Linked DNA regions of Drosophila melanogaster. The protein of the gene in region 3 interacts with the protein of the main gene of each other region in a pairwise test. Each region holds a gene or a part of one and is shown on either strand. Other genes may lie near its edges.

What was found.
Region 1: the proteins of Cpr35B (region 3) and Cp36 interact in a two-hybrid assay, tested with the Drosophila melanogaster proteins (one large-scale study listed by BioGRID).
Region 2: the proteins of Cpr35B (region 3) and NimC1 interact in a two-hybrid assay, tested with the Drosophila melanogaster proteins (one large-scale study listed by BioGRID).
Region 4: the proteins of Cpr35B (region 3) and CG4511 interact in a two-hybrid assay, tested with the Drosophila melanogaster proteins (one large-scale study listed by BioGRID).

Annotation. Positions count from the first base shown.
Region 1 is NC_004354.4:8,477,707-8,481,078, forward strand, and holds Cp36 (chorion protein 36), read left to right. Parts: upstream 1-1,612; 5' UTR 1,613-1,650; coding exon 1,651-1,698; intron 1,699-1,787; coding exon 1,788-2,594; 3' UTR 2,595-2,817; downstream 2,818-3,372. Other genes in the region: Cp7Fc (chorion protein c at 7F), read left to right, coding at 1-458.
Region 2 is NT_033779.5:13,972,641-13,978,079, reverse strand, and holds NimC1 (nimrod C1), read left to right. Parts: upstream 1-1,825; 5' UTR 1,826-1,883; coding exon 1,884-2,102; intron 2,103-2,200; coding exon 2,201-3,850; 3' UTR 3,851-4,922; downstream 4,923-5,439. Other genes in the region: Cyp28a5 (cytochrome P450 28a5), read right to left, coding at 1-77, 142-388, 533-720; He (hemese), read left to right, coding at 5,191-5,289.
Region 3 is NT_033779.5:14,423,764-14,426,858, forward strand, and holds Cpr35B (cuticular protein 35B), read right to left. Parts: upstream 1,427-3,095; 5' UTR 1,369-1,426; coding exon 1,357-1,368; intron 1,295-1,356; coding exon 650-1,294; 3' UTR 552-649; downstream 1-551.
Region 4 is NT_033777.3:10,852,475-10,856,931, forward strand, and holds CG4511 (uncharacterized protein), read left to right. Parts: upstream 1-2,026; 5' UTR 2,027-2,122; intron 2,123-2,270; exon of another isoform or gene 2,271-2,321; 5' UTR 2,322-2,381; coding exon 2,382-2,558; intron 2,559-2,819; coding exon 2,820-3,293; 3' UTR 3,294-3,938; downstream 3,939-4,457. Other genes in the region: CG4565 (uncharacterized protein), read left to right, coding at 268-922, 978-1,132; CG6567 (uncharacterized protein), read right to left, coding at 1,180-1,887. UniProt on the Drosophila melanogaster protein: Has redox activity with thioredoxin. Required for male fertility and maturation of sperm past the canoe stage during spermiogenesis.

The DNA.
Region 1 (3,372 bases), on a different chromosome or scaffold from region 3:
CAGCTTATCGTCAGGGTTTCGACAATCGAGCCATGGCCATGAAACAGCAGTATCTCATCCATCAGCAGACCCAGCAATCGCATCCTGCCCAGCAACGCTATAACTATGCCCAACAGCATGCACAACACTATGCACCACAACCACAACTGCAACCGCAACCACAACCACAACCACAATACCCACAGCACACACCGCACAGAAACACGTATGCAATGCCTCAGAATTATGGGCAGCAGAACTACAAGCCGCAGAGTTATATTATCAACTCTAGCGAAGATCAGCTGCACGCCGAGCAATCGAATCCCTCGCCAATGAAATCAGCTGGAGAGGATCGACAACATCACGAGGAGGAGTTTGACTCCTTTGGCGGTCAGCTCAACTTCAAATCACCCTTCAATGACTACGGCAGTCGACCAGCACGAGATCTCACCTACCTTCTTTATAAGCGGGGTCTCTAGAAGCTAAATCCATGTCCACGTCAAACCAAAGACTTGCGGTCTCCAGACCATTGAGTTCTATAAATGGGACTGAGCCACACCATACACCACACACCACACATACACACACGCCAACACATTACACACAACACGAACTACACAAACACTGAGATTAAGGAAATTATTAAAAAAAATAATAAAATTAATACAAAAAAAATATATATATATACAAAAATTTGTTGTGTTTGAATTGAATTAAGAGCTTATCAAGAAAAAAATTTCAGTGACTCATAATACACTACTCTACAAGTTTAAATTGAATCAACAATTTAACTTTCATTGCTCAGGTTTTTAGTAACAATGTTTATATAAGTTTAGGTATAACAAATGATTTAAATATAAGATACTGTATTTCACATTGAGACGAAACAATCCACCGAAAATCATAAAATATAAGAATGTTGCATTTTATTTTTAAAAATAAAGATGCCTTTTAAGAGGAATAACTTAAATGTCTTTAATACCTTTGAATTTAATTATATGGCTAATAAACACAAACTTAAAGCTTAAAACTGCATCGAATTGAATGCGGTTATAAATGTACTTATATATCTAATATAATCTGCTAATATGGTTTACATGGTATATCTTTCTCGGAAATTTTTACAAAAATTATCTATTCATATATCTCGAGCGTAAGATATTTATCAGTTTATAGATAACATCTTTAAATTTGGGTGATTAAAAAAAAACATTGCTGCAGGGCATGTTTATGTACACATTTCAGTATAAGTCCCAAGTTAAAATGCAATGTAAAAACATATAAAGGATATTAACTTCAAACCCAAAGGATTGCAGAGAGATTGCAGCACAGCTGTAATCATCGCAACAAGGCAACCAAAACGAGACTCTCGTAGCGTTGGCATCATATTCGATCTTTGGAAGAGCTATGATTCAAGCCAAGGGAAACAACTGCCAAAAAATAGAAGATTGCGACGAGCGGAAAGCAGAGTGGTGCACCACGGTGCATAGGTGCATAGGAGGTTGGTTGTCTAGAGATCTGGGCACGATGGCGAGACAAAGATGCGGCGCAAAATCGGAAATGGAGATGGATCACGTAGCCGGCCATGGCGGGCAGCGATTATAGGCGCTATAAAGAGCCGGAGTCATCGCCAGACAGCGAGCAGTAGACGATCCACACGTAAACGGCAACATGCAACTCGGTCTCTGGTTTGGCATTTTGGCCATCGCCGCCACGCCGGTTAGTAGCTTTTATCCATGGCATTCGCATTGGGCATCCCGCTAATCTCGCAAACTCTCTCTCTCTCTCTCTTACCTCCTCCTCATTAGCTGGTGAGCGCTAACTATGGTCCCGCTGGCGGACACGGACACGGACATGGACATGGACAGTACCTGTCCGGTCCCAATGCCGGACTCGAGGAGTACGTGAATGTGGCGTCTGGTGGCAACCAGCAGGCTGCCAATCAGATCGCCTCACAGGCCGAGATCCAGCCCACGCCGGAGGAGGCCCGTCGTTTGGGTCGCGTCCAGGCCCAACTTCAGGCCCTCAATGCCGATCCCAACTACCAGAAGCTGAAGAACTCCGAGGATATTGCCGAATCTCTGGCCGAGACCAATCTGGCCAGCAATATCCGTCAGGGCAAGATCAAGGTGGTGTCGCCACAGTTCGTTGACCAGCATCTGTTCCGCTCCCTGTTGGTGCCATCGGGCCACAACAATCACCAGGTGATCGCCACCCAGCCCCTGCCACCAATCATTGTCCACCAGCCTGGTGCACCACCAGCCCATGTGAACAGCGGCCCACCGACTGTGGTGCGCGGCAATCCGGTGATCTACAAGATCAAGCCCTCGGTCATCTACCAACAGGAGGTGATCAACAAGGTGCCCACTCCGCTGAGCCTCAACCCCGTCTACGTGAAGGTCTACAAGCCCGGCAAGAAGATCGAGGCTCCACTGGCCCCGGTGGTTGCACCCGTCTACAGCCAGCCCAGGGAGTACAGCCAGCCCCAGGGTTATGGTAGTGCCGGAGCTGCTTCCTCCGCCGCCGGTGCCGCCTCCTCTGCCGATGGCAATGCCTACGGCAACGAGGCTCCACTGTACAACAGCCCCGCGCCCTATGGCCAGCCCAACTACTAAGGTGCTCATCCTGGGCATGGGTTGCTCCTCAGCTGCGACAGCTGGTTTAATTTAAATTTTTGTTTTTTTTTTTCTTTGCCGAACTACTGAGCGCAAATAAATGAAAAAAAAATACTTGAAACGTAAACGTTTTGTCATCAATTATTTTCGACCGGAAGGGGCTACCTGAGTGGCAATGAAGCACACAGATTAAGCACATATTTATGAATATATAAATATATACGAATGCATGAGAGAACAAAAAATTATATCTAGTTTTCTTCAAAAATAAATAATAAAGGGGAAAATGGTATAAAGTATGAACATAAAATTATGAACGAGTATAAATAAGTTTGTAATTGAAATCTCTACGGTCATACAAGTATTTTAACTATTCTATAAATATGCATAAACATGGTACGCATTTTATGAGATACAATTCGAAAGATATTGGATAGCATTATCATGCATGAAATTATTTCACACTCTTGTGATGGTAGCTATCTTATTCCAGTTATCGTTTAATTGCAAAGAATGGGATCAAAAGGTCATCTTTATCAACATATTGTTGATTCCGGAATGAATAATAAATAATAACATAACTATGAATTAATGGAGCAACTATAATTTTACGGCCTCTTTTCTTTTAAACAAAGAATATAGCACTTTTAATGCATTAAATACGTATTTAAACCTTTTCTTTTGAAACGCCAAATTCATATTAGAGTTTCATAAGATTGTTTTAAAACATAACAACATAATAATTGAAGAATTGGAAATCTTTTTAGGTGTTTGTAAG
Region 2 (5,439 bases), 450 kb from region 3:
CCCAGACGCAATTGCTTCTCCACCCACTCGGTCAACTTTTGGCACACCTTGTTTGTCACCGGATAGACTGTCTTTATCTGTAATTATGTATATTGGTTGGATCAGTACTTTTCGGGCTTGCCACTGGATGAACTGCCTCACCCGTCCCATCGTAAGACCAGGCGTTACGTCCGCCCTTCGAGTTTTCCACTTTTCGCCAGTTAACGAGAACGGATTGTTGGCGAAAATGAAATCGGTTTTCTCGTCAATATTCTTGGCGATCTCATTGTCGTGGAAGTTCTTAAAGTTGGACACAAAGACTCGACGCGCCAACGCGGGATTGATCACCAGCAGCTGTGGAGAGCGGCTGCCAAAAATGCCCACAGCATCGTACTTGTTCTTATACTGCCTGAATAAAATGATCGCATTAAATTCAAGTAAAGCGTAATTTTTTAAATGCGTTTTAAGAATGGTTCTTGGTTTCTTTGTGAAACAGTTGATGATCCATTGAATTTTGGTAGTTAATATAACCTTTCTAGCTGGGATAACTCACCTGTATATATCGTCTAGATCGTAGATTGCATGCCGCTTCATAGTAAACATGTTTGGATAGTTTCCGCACAATAGCTTTGGCTTGGGACCAGGAACGCCCCGTTTCCTCCAATAGTCATAGTTCCATACCAGCACGGCATACAGCAGGCCCACCACCAACGAAACCAGGGTCAAAGTAATCAGAACCATTTTCGATCGCTCTAAAATCTACGTCCACGCGCGACGAGTTCTAAACGGCGTCTGTTGTGGAATCAGATACTCTGCTCTATTTGTAGCTGCTCATTGAATTTGGGAGAGGTATTCAACAGTGTGGAATCACCGAGATACCTGAGTGAGTGCTCTGGGAGAGTAAACTACTCACACTTTCACCATAAACAGTTCTAACATATAAATGATAAGAGCTAATCATTATTGCAGGCGGTCGTCAATCGTCATATCAAGCAATTATTATTTATTTACGGTCTTGTTCTTTGTAGAAAAAAGCAATAACATTTGATGTTGCAACTCGACTAGCCGCAATGAAATTAACCATTTAGAATAAATTTAAGTATCTTTAGTAACCTAGGGCATATTTGAATGGCTGATGAAATATATACAGTAGTTGAAGGAAACATTATAGCGTTTGCTTCTGTCTTACATATTTTGCTTGCAATATTGGGATAAACAAATGCTCAGATAATCCCAAGCGGTTTATATGTATAGGTCTAGATTGTCGAGTCCTCAACGGATGTAGCTGATTTTGGAGCAACATGAAATATATAAATTTACATTTGCAGCTCAGTTGAATTTGAAACGTTGCGCCGAACTCATTTACATAGAGATCAAAGCTGAATTTTACAAGATTTCTGCTCTTTCCATAATGTCACACATCCAATGCCTTTGGGTGTGTCTGGGTTTTTTTATGCTACTCGTCGACTTCATTCAACCCATCGGCTTGAATGTTTGTAACCGATCGCAGGTGGTTACTTACAAGAGATATGTCGAAAGGAGTAGAGTGATACCATACCAGCATAGATCTTTCTGGAGTGGTTGGCAGACAAAATACCGCACCGAGTATTATACAGACGAAGAGGTAAATACAAAACTTTGAGTAAAATATAAATGGGGAACGGAACTAGTCTCCCTAAAGCTAATAATACAAATAATTATAAAATACTAAAAGATTCCTATGTACAAAGCAAACGAAGATATAGTGTGCTCGTTATCTGGAATTCATTAAAAATCCAAGAGAAAAGAACATTACATTAATTGAGGGTCCAGTTCTGTTTAATTCATCGGACAGACTGGTTGCTTTAAGATAGTGAATATATATATGGTATATACTTCAGGAAACGAATTGACTCGCATTACTCATGGATTTTACTGCATTTTCACTGCATTTTGTGTGTCTGTCATTGTCCTTTGGCACAAGTTTCGCCATTTTACGGCATGGCCTAAATGATTGCAGTCACCCGGAAAGCGTTCCGTATAACCGTAAGGTTCTTAAAAGTAAATTGGTTCCGTTTCAACAGTATTCATACTTTCATGGTTGGGTTACTAAGTACAGGCATCAATATGTCTATGAAGATGAGGTAATTCGAATTTGTACATAATTTATATTATTATTTATAGCTTTGGTAAGTGTGTAGTTAAAGTTTCCTTTAAAGAGGCTTTTTCTCCTGTTCTCTAGACTGCCTACAGGACCGTAATGAGACCCAGTTGCTGTGAGGGCTACGAAGGATCCGTTGAGAACTGCAAACCTGTCTGCAGACAACAGTGTCCTCAACATGGATTCTGCTCGTCCCCCAATACTTGCAGTTGCAATGCGGGCTACGGCGGTATCGACTGCCATCCCGTTTGCCCAACGGTATGTGGAAAAAACGAGTTTTGCGATCGCCCCGGAGTCTGTAGCTGCCAAAATGGCTACAAACGAACTTCTCCCAGCGACAATTGCCTTCCAGTTTGCGAAAAGGAATGTGGACACCATAGCTTTTGCTCGGAGCCCGGGAAATGCGAATGTGAACCTGGGTACGAGAAAGTGGGAAACGGCACCGTCTTTCCAGATGGATACAAGAACAATTCAAATGGCAATTGCTCGCCCATTTGCCCAAAGGATTGTGGCCAAAACAGCCGATGTGTGAGGCCAGGTGTGTGCGAGTGTGAAAATGGATATGCCGGTGACGACGGAGGCACCAATTGCCGACCCGTGTGCTCCACTTGCCCGGAGAACGGATTATGCTTGAGTCCCGGCGTTTGTGTCTGCAAGCCGGGCTACGTAATGAGAAATGATCTCTGCCAGCCGCATTGCGAAAAGTGCTCGGATAACGCACACTGCGTGGCGCCCAACCAATGCGAGTGCTTTCCGGGCTATGAGTCGTCGGGGGCGGACAAGAAGTGCGTACCCAAGTGCAGCAAGGGATGTACCAACGGCTTTTGCTTTGCACCGGAGACTTGTGTTTGCAGTATTGGCTATCAAATGGGTCCCAATCAAGTCTGTGAGCCAAAATGCAGCCTAAACTGTGTTCATGGCAAGTGCACCAGTCCAGAAACCTGTACCTGCGATCCGGGTTATCGCTTCAAGGACAACTCCCATCACGAATGCGATCCTATTTGCGACAGTGGCTGCAGCAACGGACACTGTGTGGCACCCAATTTTTGTATATGCCACGATGGCTATCAGCTCAATAGCACAAATCCTGTCACTTCTATGTGTCAGCCGATCTGCAAAGGCTGCCAATTCGGAGACTGTGTGGCACCGAATGTGTGCGAGTGCAACGTGGGCTATGAGAATATTAACGGACTATGCGAGTTACAAACCACGACGGACTCCTATGAATACAGCACCACAACTGTGGAGTTGCAATCATCAACTGTAGACCCTCAACTGCAGACATCAACCAGCGAGGTTCCGCACTCAAATTGCACTGCCGGTTGCATGTGCTGGATTGAATACGATGGGATGGGTACTTTCAATACAGCCAAGTGTGCCAAGATCTGTGTTGATCCCCAGGACAAGCCGTGCCTCAATTTGGACAATTGCCAATGCGATTTATCGAGTGGTCAACTGGTGTGCCAAGAGGATAGTGACATGGATTACAGCGGGGAGAATTCGCGATACGTTTGTCATATTTTGCCAGAGCAGGGGGCAAGATCAGAGGCTGAGGTACGGATTCCTGACCGAACTGGATCGTCTAACAAGTGGATGATTATCGTAGGCTCCTGCGCTGGAATGATCATTGGTGTGGCCGCCACAATCATTGGCATAAAGTACTATCGACGTTCTACCTCTAGGCGAAATTTTGAAGCCGAAGAAGCCATTGTTGAATGTGATTTTGAATAGTTTGAATCCACACAAAATCACTTATCCTTTCAAAATCGCTTGTAAAATTGTTAAATTACTTGAATTAAAAAATGTAATAACATGAAATAAATTTATAATAATAATTATAATAATTATTTGTTGGTAATGTCCTCAAGCTTAAAAGAATAACTGGACCATTTAGGTACGGAATGCAGGACTCACTATAAATGTAAGCAAATGTCAATTGTGCTTACTTAAAGTTGACTATCTAGGTTTCATCAAAAGAGGGTACTTTACAAGTACGAGATATATATTACGTCTAACTGTAATAGTTAAGAAGATTTATACGAATACTTTACGAGTACTGGAAAAGAAAACGCTGATACCAACCAGTCGTATCAGCGTTTCCTTTTTCAGTACTTGTCATATATGTATCTATTCCCATACAGAGTTTCTGTGTGGTTAATCAATCCAATAGATAAAACGCACGCTTTAATAAATCGTGATATCAAACATATATTTTGGCCAAACACTTCCTCCACACGGAGGAGCTTTCAATAGCTGTTGTAAAGGCAGAGTTTTTGTAATGCTCTAAAACTGTATAACTTTTCATAATAACAATACAATGCAAAAAAACCGGAAACTTGCAGTTTTATAAACTGATCAAATCCGTGAAGTATTGGTATGACAACCCCTTTGTTTTTCAATACCTTTCGTTTTGTGTTTGGAGTTTTAAGTTTGGACAACCACAGCAATTTTTTGTTTATTTACATTAAAATAGTTTGTTCATCACTATATAAGGGAAATTATTTCTTTTTAAAAAATTATTTTTGTATTAACCATTATCATTAGTTACAGGAAACGTTTGGAATGACACACAAAAGTGATTGAGTCATATTTACTACTAAATCATTGGAGGCCTGTTAAGCATACATACATACATATATAATATGTAATATTTAAAATATGTAAAATGTTCGCGGACTAATAAAACGACTGAGATCAACTGATTTGTAATCCTCATATTTTTTAGAATGAGAAAAAAGTTGTAAGTCAACCAAAACATACCACTCAATAAATTCATAAAATGAACTCGACGAGCTTAACGTTTAAAAGTGTATTTAAATCCTTTACTCACCTTTCTTTTTTTATAAAAAAGTAAGAAATAATTGTACAATTACTTCTTACTTTTATAAAGCCAATTAAATTAAAAATAAATACACTGGTTACATATTTTCCTCCTTATTGGATATACCCGAAAAGCTTTCATATAAAGGGTACTAATCTCGCTCCGCAGAAGGCAAGCGAAATTTTAAAGTTTAGTTCATTTTTTGGCACTCGGCGGAGCAGTTCACACTAAGTTTACATAAGTCACTAATATGCATAATTTTCAACTGACCGTCGTTTTCCTGGCACTGTTCACTTTTACCAGTTCCTTTGGATACCGTTCTGAACATCCGCACAGAAAACCAATACATGTACGTACTTTTTCTGTCTTTTAAAATCAATAACATTAAATACCCATGACAAAGGGTCAAATTGCATATGCAAATGACATACAAATATGTTAGTCTAAATATTACATATTTATAGGTATTTAATTAAAAAAATTTAATTTTAAAAACCAA
Region 3 (3,095 bases):
CGGATGAATAAAGGACTTTCAACTCCGAAAACCCGATTGCCACCACTAGAAGTGAAAAGAAATCGCCCATAAAAAATCGCCATGTGCACGCATATATACAATATGTGTGTATGCTTGCATAAAAAATACAAGTTTCAGCCACCTGAAATAGCCAGCGAATAGATAGATATGCGGGCTAATTTATGGATAAACTGTACAAATATGATTTATAATAATCGAATTTGTGATATATCTCGCCTGTCGTGTCGCACATTACTGATTCTGACCCAAATTACGGTCTATGCGATTCTCGTCTTGGTGTTGAGTCGCGAATGCCTGCCTATTCAATTCATAAATCACCATATGCTAAATATGCTAAAATTTCACTAATAATTTGAAATGTTTAAATATTCCAAATGTATCGAAAAGAGCTATCTACTGTGATTTGTTTCTTTTTTAAGTTAATAGTTCGTTGGTAAGTATAGAAACTTTATAATTCGATTTTAATAGGTTTTAGGGAAACTTTAGTTACACTTCTTGTCCATTTCAAATCAAATAATTATTTCAATTTTGAAAATATTTGCCTGATTTATTTTGGTATAACAACAATAGGTATTTGGTAAGAGTTCAATAAACGATTGATAAACAATTGTATAGCTTAGGGGTCAACTCAATGGTAACCGTGTCCGTGCTCGAAACCATGATCCTGACCGTGGCTGTGGCCGTGCCCATGTCCGTGTTCCTGTTTCAGCGAATAGCTGTGGGAGCTGCTTCCGTGACCATGTCCATGACCATGACCGTGACCGTGCTCCTCGTGTCCGTGGCCATAGTCGTGTCCGGATTGCGAGGAGTGCTCCTCGAACTCAACGTGTCCGCCCTCGTAGCCGCTGTGTCCATGGCCATGGTGCTCCGCCTGGTGGTGATCGTGGAGCTTCTCGCGATGGACATGAGCCTCGAATCCCTTGTGCTTGTCCGCCGTGTAGTGGACAGTTCGCTTGTGGCCATCGGCATCGATCAACTCATAGTGTCCGGTAACCGTGTGGCCATGTCGTGACTCACTCTGTGACTTCACATCCCCAGTCTTTTGATCCTTGACGCCGTACTGGAAGTCATACTCAGCATGGGAGTCATGGTGATCATCATGCCCGTGATGGTCGTGATGATGACCGTGATGTTCCTCGTGATGATCGTCGTGCGATGTTAGATGCACGGAGGCATGACTGGTGGCTCCACCGTGATGACCGTGGTGTTCGTGGCCATGGAAAGGAGCTGCCCGAATAGCCGCAATGGCCAAGAGGGCAAAGGCGATGAAAAACTAAGGAAAATCGAGGTGAATAATAATTTGCTTTAGTTGTTATCCTTTTTTGCTGAACTCACCTTTTGAGCCATGGTACCGCAGCTAGTTTATGAGTTAATCTTAGCTAGACTACTGTTGTCTGATCTCCAGACCAAAGTGAACTGTACCTAAAACACCTTTAACCCGGCCTTTTTATAGTTGGAATAAATCGAACCCATAGGTTAAACTTTCAAAAAAGAATTGGTAAATCGGTCTTTAGTTACGCCCCAATTTGCAGTTCAAGATCAGGTCGTACTTTCGCCCCAGAGACGTGCAATTATATTCGACTGCCAGTTCGACCCTTTTATTTAGCTGTTGTTTCGAAAATCCGTAAAAAAAAAAAATAAATAAACATAAAAATGAGGAAAGAAAAGAATGGCAGTGTAGTAATTCATTGTAAAATTTACTGTCGCAACAATTGCCAATTTAAAGTGGCATTGTTTATGCATCGCATCGCTGTCGTTGTCGGCCATTATAATCCCCCGGCTTGGAGTCGGATTTGGATTGGGATTGGTATATGTGGGCATAGCCAAGAAACAAACGAGCCAAAAGATTTATATGCCTGACAAACGTCTTCGAGTCGTTGACGTCAATCAGGCCTGACAAAAAGTCATCAGAATTGCAGTTTGCAGTTCTCCCTCGGCAGCGGCTTCTTCATTTTGGCCAGATCGGAAAGGCTTGTCTGCTCTCCTCAATCCCAATTCCAATCCCATCCCATCCCAATCCCAGTCCCGTTTCCCGATCCCGATCGGGATCCCAACTTTCGGTGGACTGTTGTCCCGCCAGTCCGCCTGTCAGCAGTCAATCGGCTACCGTCTGTCAATGTCGTGTCGCCTTCATCAAAGGCCACATTCGAGTTGACAATGGGGATATTGGTTCTGTTTTGTAATCCGCAAAGGATACGGATTTTTGAAAGTGCTCAAGTCTGGCAAGAAGAGCTACGTGGCTGGATGGAACATACTTGAATGCAATTTGCATTTGATGCGTGAATTAGCTGGGAATGTAATAATTGGATGAGAATGTTCAGAAAGAAGGGATAGAAGAACATGGCTAACAGATTCAAGGACCATCAGTTATATGATGCTAAGTATTTATTAGTATTTATTACTATTTTTACTTTTGGTACCCTCTATGTACCCTCAATGCCTTAAATTATGCTCCTTCTGCTGTGTTTAGATAACTTTATGCAACAGTTGTGGTTTAATTGATACTGATTATGGTAACTGGGCTTATGCATCCAAAAGTCGAGATCTGGGAGCAGTGAAAGCCCCCTTCTTTCATCATCGAAATTGCCCTTATGGCAGTGGTCTGAACGTGGCACAGAGCCGCAATGTTGCTGCCGCAAGTTGAGAGTCGCAAGTTGCAAGTTGCCAGTTGCCGTCGCTGTCGACTCATCGTTGTCAGTCAAAGGGGCAAACGAAAGGCTGCGTGGTTTGGTTGGCTGGTTTCGTTGTCAGTGTCATTGCTGGCTGCGTTTTGTGGGCACATTTCGGCTGCTTGATTACTCATGTCAATCAGGCTTCCAAACAGCGACGACATGCTGTCAATCTTTGTGTCATGGCCGCTAAAGTTGTTGGTCGGTTGGTCGGTCGTTTTGGCCGGTTGGCCAGTTGCTGGAGTCGTACAACAAGTACGCTTGATTGCCGGGCCCAAAAGGCTGGGTAAAAGGGTAAATACAGGACAGCAACAACAAAAAAAAATAGGAGGCGATGGGGAAAACCGATGATGCCACAAAGGTGCCCGGTGGCAGTGACAGGACTGTAGTTGTAGCCCATTCGAT
Region 4 (4,457 bases), on a different chromosome or scaffold from region 3:
AATCTGAAATATGGGCGCTCATCACAAGGCAGATACTTTCTACAAAAAGTCTGGTAACGCTTACAGCAAAACGGTCGAACTGGAACTGCAAGGATATACAAATGTGTTGCATCATAAAAAATAAACAATTTTCTTCCGAATAAGGGAACATTTTTAAATTCAGAGTGTGACCGAGGCAATAAAGTGTAATATTCTTCAGAAAGCGCAACATCCATTAAATGGGGAATCAATTCTCGTACTAGAATGTAATGTAAACAAACTTTAAAAATGGACGAATCTGAAACAGCTCCGAATGACGACTATGAGCACCCAGATGGACTCGATTACATATTGGAATCTGTGTTGATGCCCAGCGATGGAAGTAAAGAATTCAAATTCTTGGCGGACGAGTACAATTCTGTTCTTTTGAACCCCTGTCACTGCAAAGGAGCCTGCGAAAACAGCGAAGTCTGTGCACATGGAGGCCAATATGAGTTCACAGAAGATGGCAGCGAATTAATTCTTCGGAATTCCGCAAATCCTGTCATTGAGTGCAATGACATGTGCAAATGCTGTAGAAACACGTGCTCCAATCGGCTTGTGTACTCAGGCCCGAGGAAACATTTGGAAATATTCGATTCGCCCGTGTACGGATCCAAAGGACTACGGACTACAGCGAAAATTACAAAAGGAGGATACATTTGCGAATATGCCGGAGAACTTTTAACGGTTCCCGAGGCAAGAAGCCGCTTGCATGATAATGAAAAACTAGGCCTGATGAACTATATCCTGGTGCTTAATGAATACACTAGCGACAAGAAGCAACAGGTGACCATCGTTGATCCATCAAGACGTGGAAACATCGGACGCTACCTGAACCACAGCTGCGAACCGAACTGTCATATAGCAGCTGTACGAATAGACTGTCCCATACCAAAAATAGGCAAGTTTTATTGCTAATTCTGATCCGACTTCTCTCGTCATGTGTAATTTTTTAGGTATTTTCGCAGCAAGGGATATTGCGGCCAAGGAGGAGTTATGCTTTCATTATGGCGGAGAAGGGCAGTATAAAAAGATGACAGGTGGAAAGACTTGCCTCTGTGGTGCTTCAAAATGCACGGGTTTCATGCCAAATACTGAAATAGAAGAATAAATAAATTACTATTAAAGTTTACCTAAGTATATGTAAGTACTTGCCACTCAGAGTTTGTTCTGTACTTGGTTTTCCAGCGGAGGTAGTTTTTCATAAATCCATTGCTGCAGATCCGTGATGGAGGCAGTTTTCAGTTCGTGCAGTGTGTTCCTCAATGGATGAAATGTGCCCTTGACACCCAGTTTCGTTAGGTTCTCGAAGGTTTCCAGACCCCAGTCCTTAGGTACCAGAGTATCGCGTTCCCCGTGATACATTCGCAGCTCGGGAAAAGATTCGTCTTTGCCGTTGGCCAGGGAATCATAGACAACGGAGCCGCGGTTCAGGAACGAGGAATGTGCGAATACGCCGGCCAAGCTGCGTCTCAAATGGTAGCCCGTGTGCAGAGCCAAGGCTCCGCCCATCGAGAATCCGCCCACAACGATCCTGTTCAGCGGTATGCCGCTGGCCACCTCCTCGTCGATCAGCTGATTGACCGCATCATAACACTGGGACATGCTCTTCTTGCTTTCCGATGCGGCAATGTTCACGGACTTGCGGTCAAACCACACGTTGGATAGTTCCCCGTCCAGCGGGGTGTACTTCTGTTTGGGAGCCGTGGGATATATTATCTTTATGTGCGGGTACTCCAGATTCCGGCCGATAAGGAAGCGCACCCATTCCAGAACATTGGGGCCGGTGTCGCCGGATCCGTGGAAGAATATCACGGAGGCTGTGTGTTTGCCAGTGGCATTGACCGTTGTCAAGGCTGGCTTCATCTTTAATTCACCTTTGATCAACTAAATATATTGCACTATCGGAATAACCATCAAAGGGCGGCAGTGTGGCCAGGGGTTCGTAAAGAAACAGCTGACGGGAAATAATACTGTCATGGTATTTTGAACATTAAGGAGCCTTTTGTATTTTCCAATGTAAAGTCAAACGGTCACACGAATCCATACGTCTAAATAAACTTTTAAGGAGTAAAATCAATGAAATAAGTGAAAATAAAAGGTGAGTACCGTCTAAATAATCGATTTGTGGGCGCCTCCATCGAAATGCGCTGCGCTTTCCCCAAAACATGCCTTACTTAACTGAATTTTCCACAAAACATGACGCATCTGCGGCTCCATGACTACGCCTTTCCATTTGTGCCGGATCCACACGCACACACGCGCAACCATTGACGCCAACACGAACACACCACACGCAGAGTGCAAATAACGGAGAAACATCAAGACACGCAGAGGAGCAGCAACTGGAAGAGGACAACATGGCCAACATCCTGGAGAACCAACTGTTCACGGCCGCCAAGACCATCGAGCAGCAGCTGGACCAGCAGCTCGACCGCCTGGACAACCTCGATTCGGATGACCTAAAGGTCCTGCGGGAGCAGCGGCTCCGCGAAATGAAGGACCTGAACAACAAGAAGCAGGAGTGGCTCAGAAACGTAGGTGATCATCTCTTACAACACTCAATTATTGAAGATACTTCGAGATTGTTCTCTAAGTGGTATATGACCAAATGGTATTCAACATGCGACTTTTAAGACATTCGCGACACTTGCTTCGATTAATTCAAATTAGTTTTCAAATTGGGCTACCAGCTTAAATAGCTCAAAACTTAAATATATATGTAAAAATTAACTTTCAAAGAAAACCTTGTTAGCGCAACAATCTCATTAATCCCCAAAATTGCTAATCTTTTCCAGGGTCATGGCACCTACACCGAGCTGGCCGACGAAAAAGAGTTCTTCGAGATGTCGAAAAAGTCGCCCAACATTGTTTGCCACTTTTACCGCGACAGCACCGAGCGCTGCAAGATCGTGGACATGCACCTGAAGATCCTCGCGGCCAAGCACGTGGAGGCCAAGTTTTGCAAGGTGAATGCCGAAAAGACTCCATTCCTCACCCAGCGACTGCGCATCAAGGTGATACCCACCATCGCCCTGGTGAAGGACAGCAAGACCAAGGACTTCATTGTCGGATTCACCGATCTGGGCAACTGCGACGACTTCGCCACCGAAATGCTGGAGTGGCGCATCGCCCACTCGGGGGCCATTGACTACAAGGGCGATCTGATGCAGCCACCAGATGTGAAACGCAAACCATTCATCAACCGCCCACAGAAGACAATACGTGGAGGCTACGACTCGGATGACTCCGATATAGATCTGGATGACTAACTACGGGCAGTCCATCCCACACTCTCGATTACCCAAGCTCCAGCTTTCGTTCCACACTCCCACACAAGATACACTCAAAAGCGATGGAGTAACAAAAACGGACACACACAAATCAAAACCTAGCACATGGATCTAAACCAATTAGGCGTACTCTAGCGTTATTTATTTAATTATACGATTCCGATCCCTCTGCTACGGTCCCATCGCCACCTAGTGTAAGTGGCTAATTCGGTTGCCTTCCCCCCCGATTATGTGCTTTAATATCTATCAGTTCAATCAGCTGCCTCGAAGGCTGCGCCACTCTAGCGAGCTTAAGCGAACTCAAAATTTGATCTTTATGGTATTTGCAATTCCAAATGAATGTGCACCCTTTGCGTATATATGTTAAGTTGAGCATAGTTTTACAAACTGCCCTCGCCCTCCAGAAAACGGTGTACGTAAAACAAGAAACTAACATACACAGAGCATAAAAGACAAGAAACTAAATATCTGGCATATATATATTTTTAAAATTTCGATAAAAGGTGTATTGCATTTCCTACAGTAGAGGTAACTAACACTTACATATGTACAAGTTTTTATATTTATTTTTGTAATTCTACAAAGCATCAAAGGAAATCAACGATTAAATAGCATGTTCAAAACAATTGCAAGCGCTTGGTAATTGGTTGTAAACTTAAATGGTTCCCACACAGGTTTTTTGCATTTCAGATCGTACTCTTGGTAATATTTTATTTAAATCATACACGGGAAAGGCAGCTTTTTATTAAAATATGACTTTTTAACAAAAAGACTAGAATTTCTTTAAGAACTTATTATTTTCATCATTTATCGATATTATTAAACCTTACTTGGAAAACACAGAACTGATCATCGGGTTAAATAGTTTTGAATGAAATAATCCTGAAATAATAGGTTTGAACAAACTACGCTGCAGTTAAAGTAATGGTATTTCCCCGAACAGCTGATCATGAGATTCCGAAAATCCTCCCTTAACACAAGGGTTGCCAGTCTTGCCGCAGACGAATAACGGAATGGCCGCCAAAGACAAAAAGGGACGCCAACTGAATTTACCTGTAATGACGCCGTAATCCCGCCAATTGCAGCTTGCTCGCCATAAAACTACGGTCCAGACTATCGTCAAAATCGGTGCAAAAACTTTTA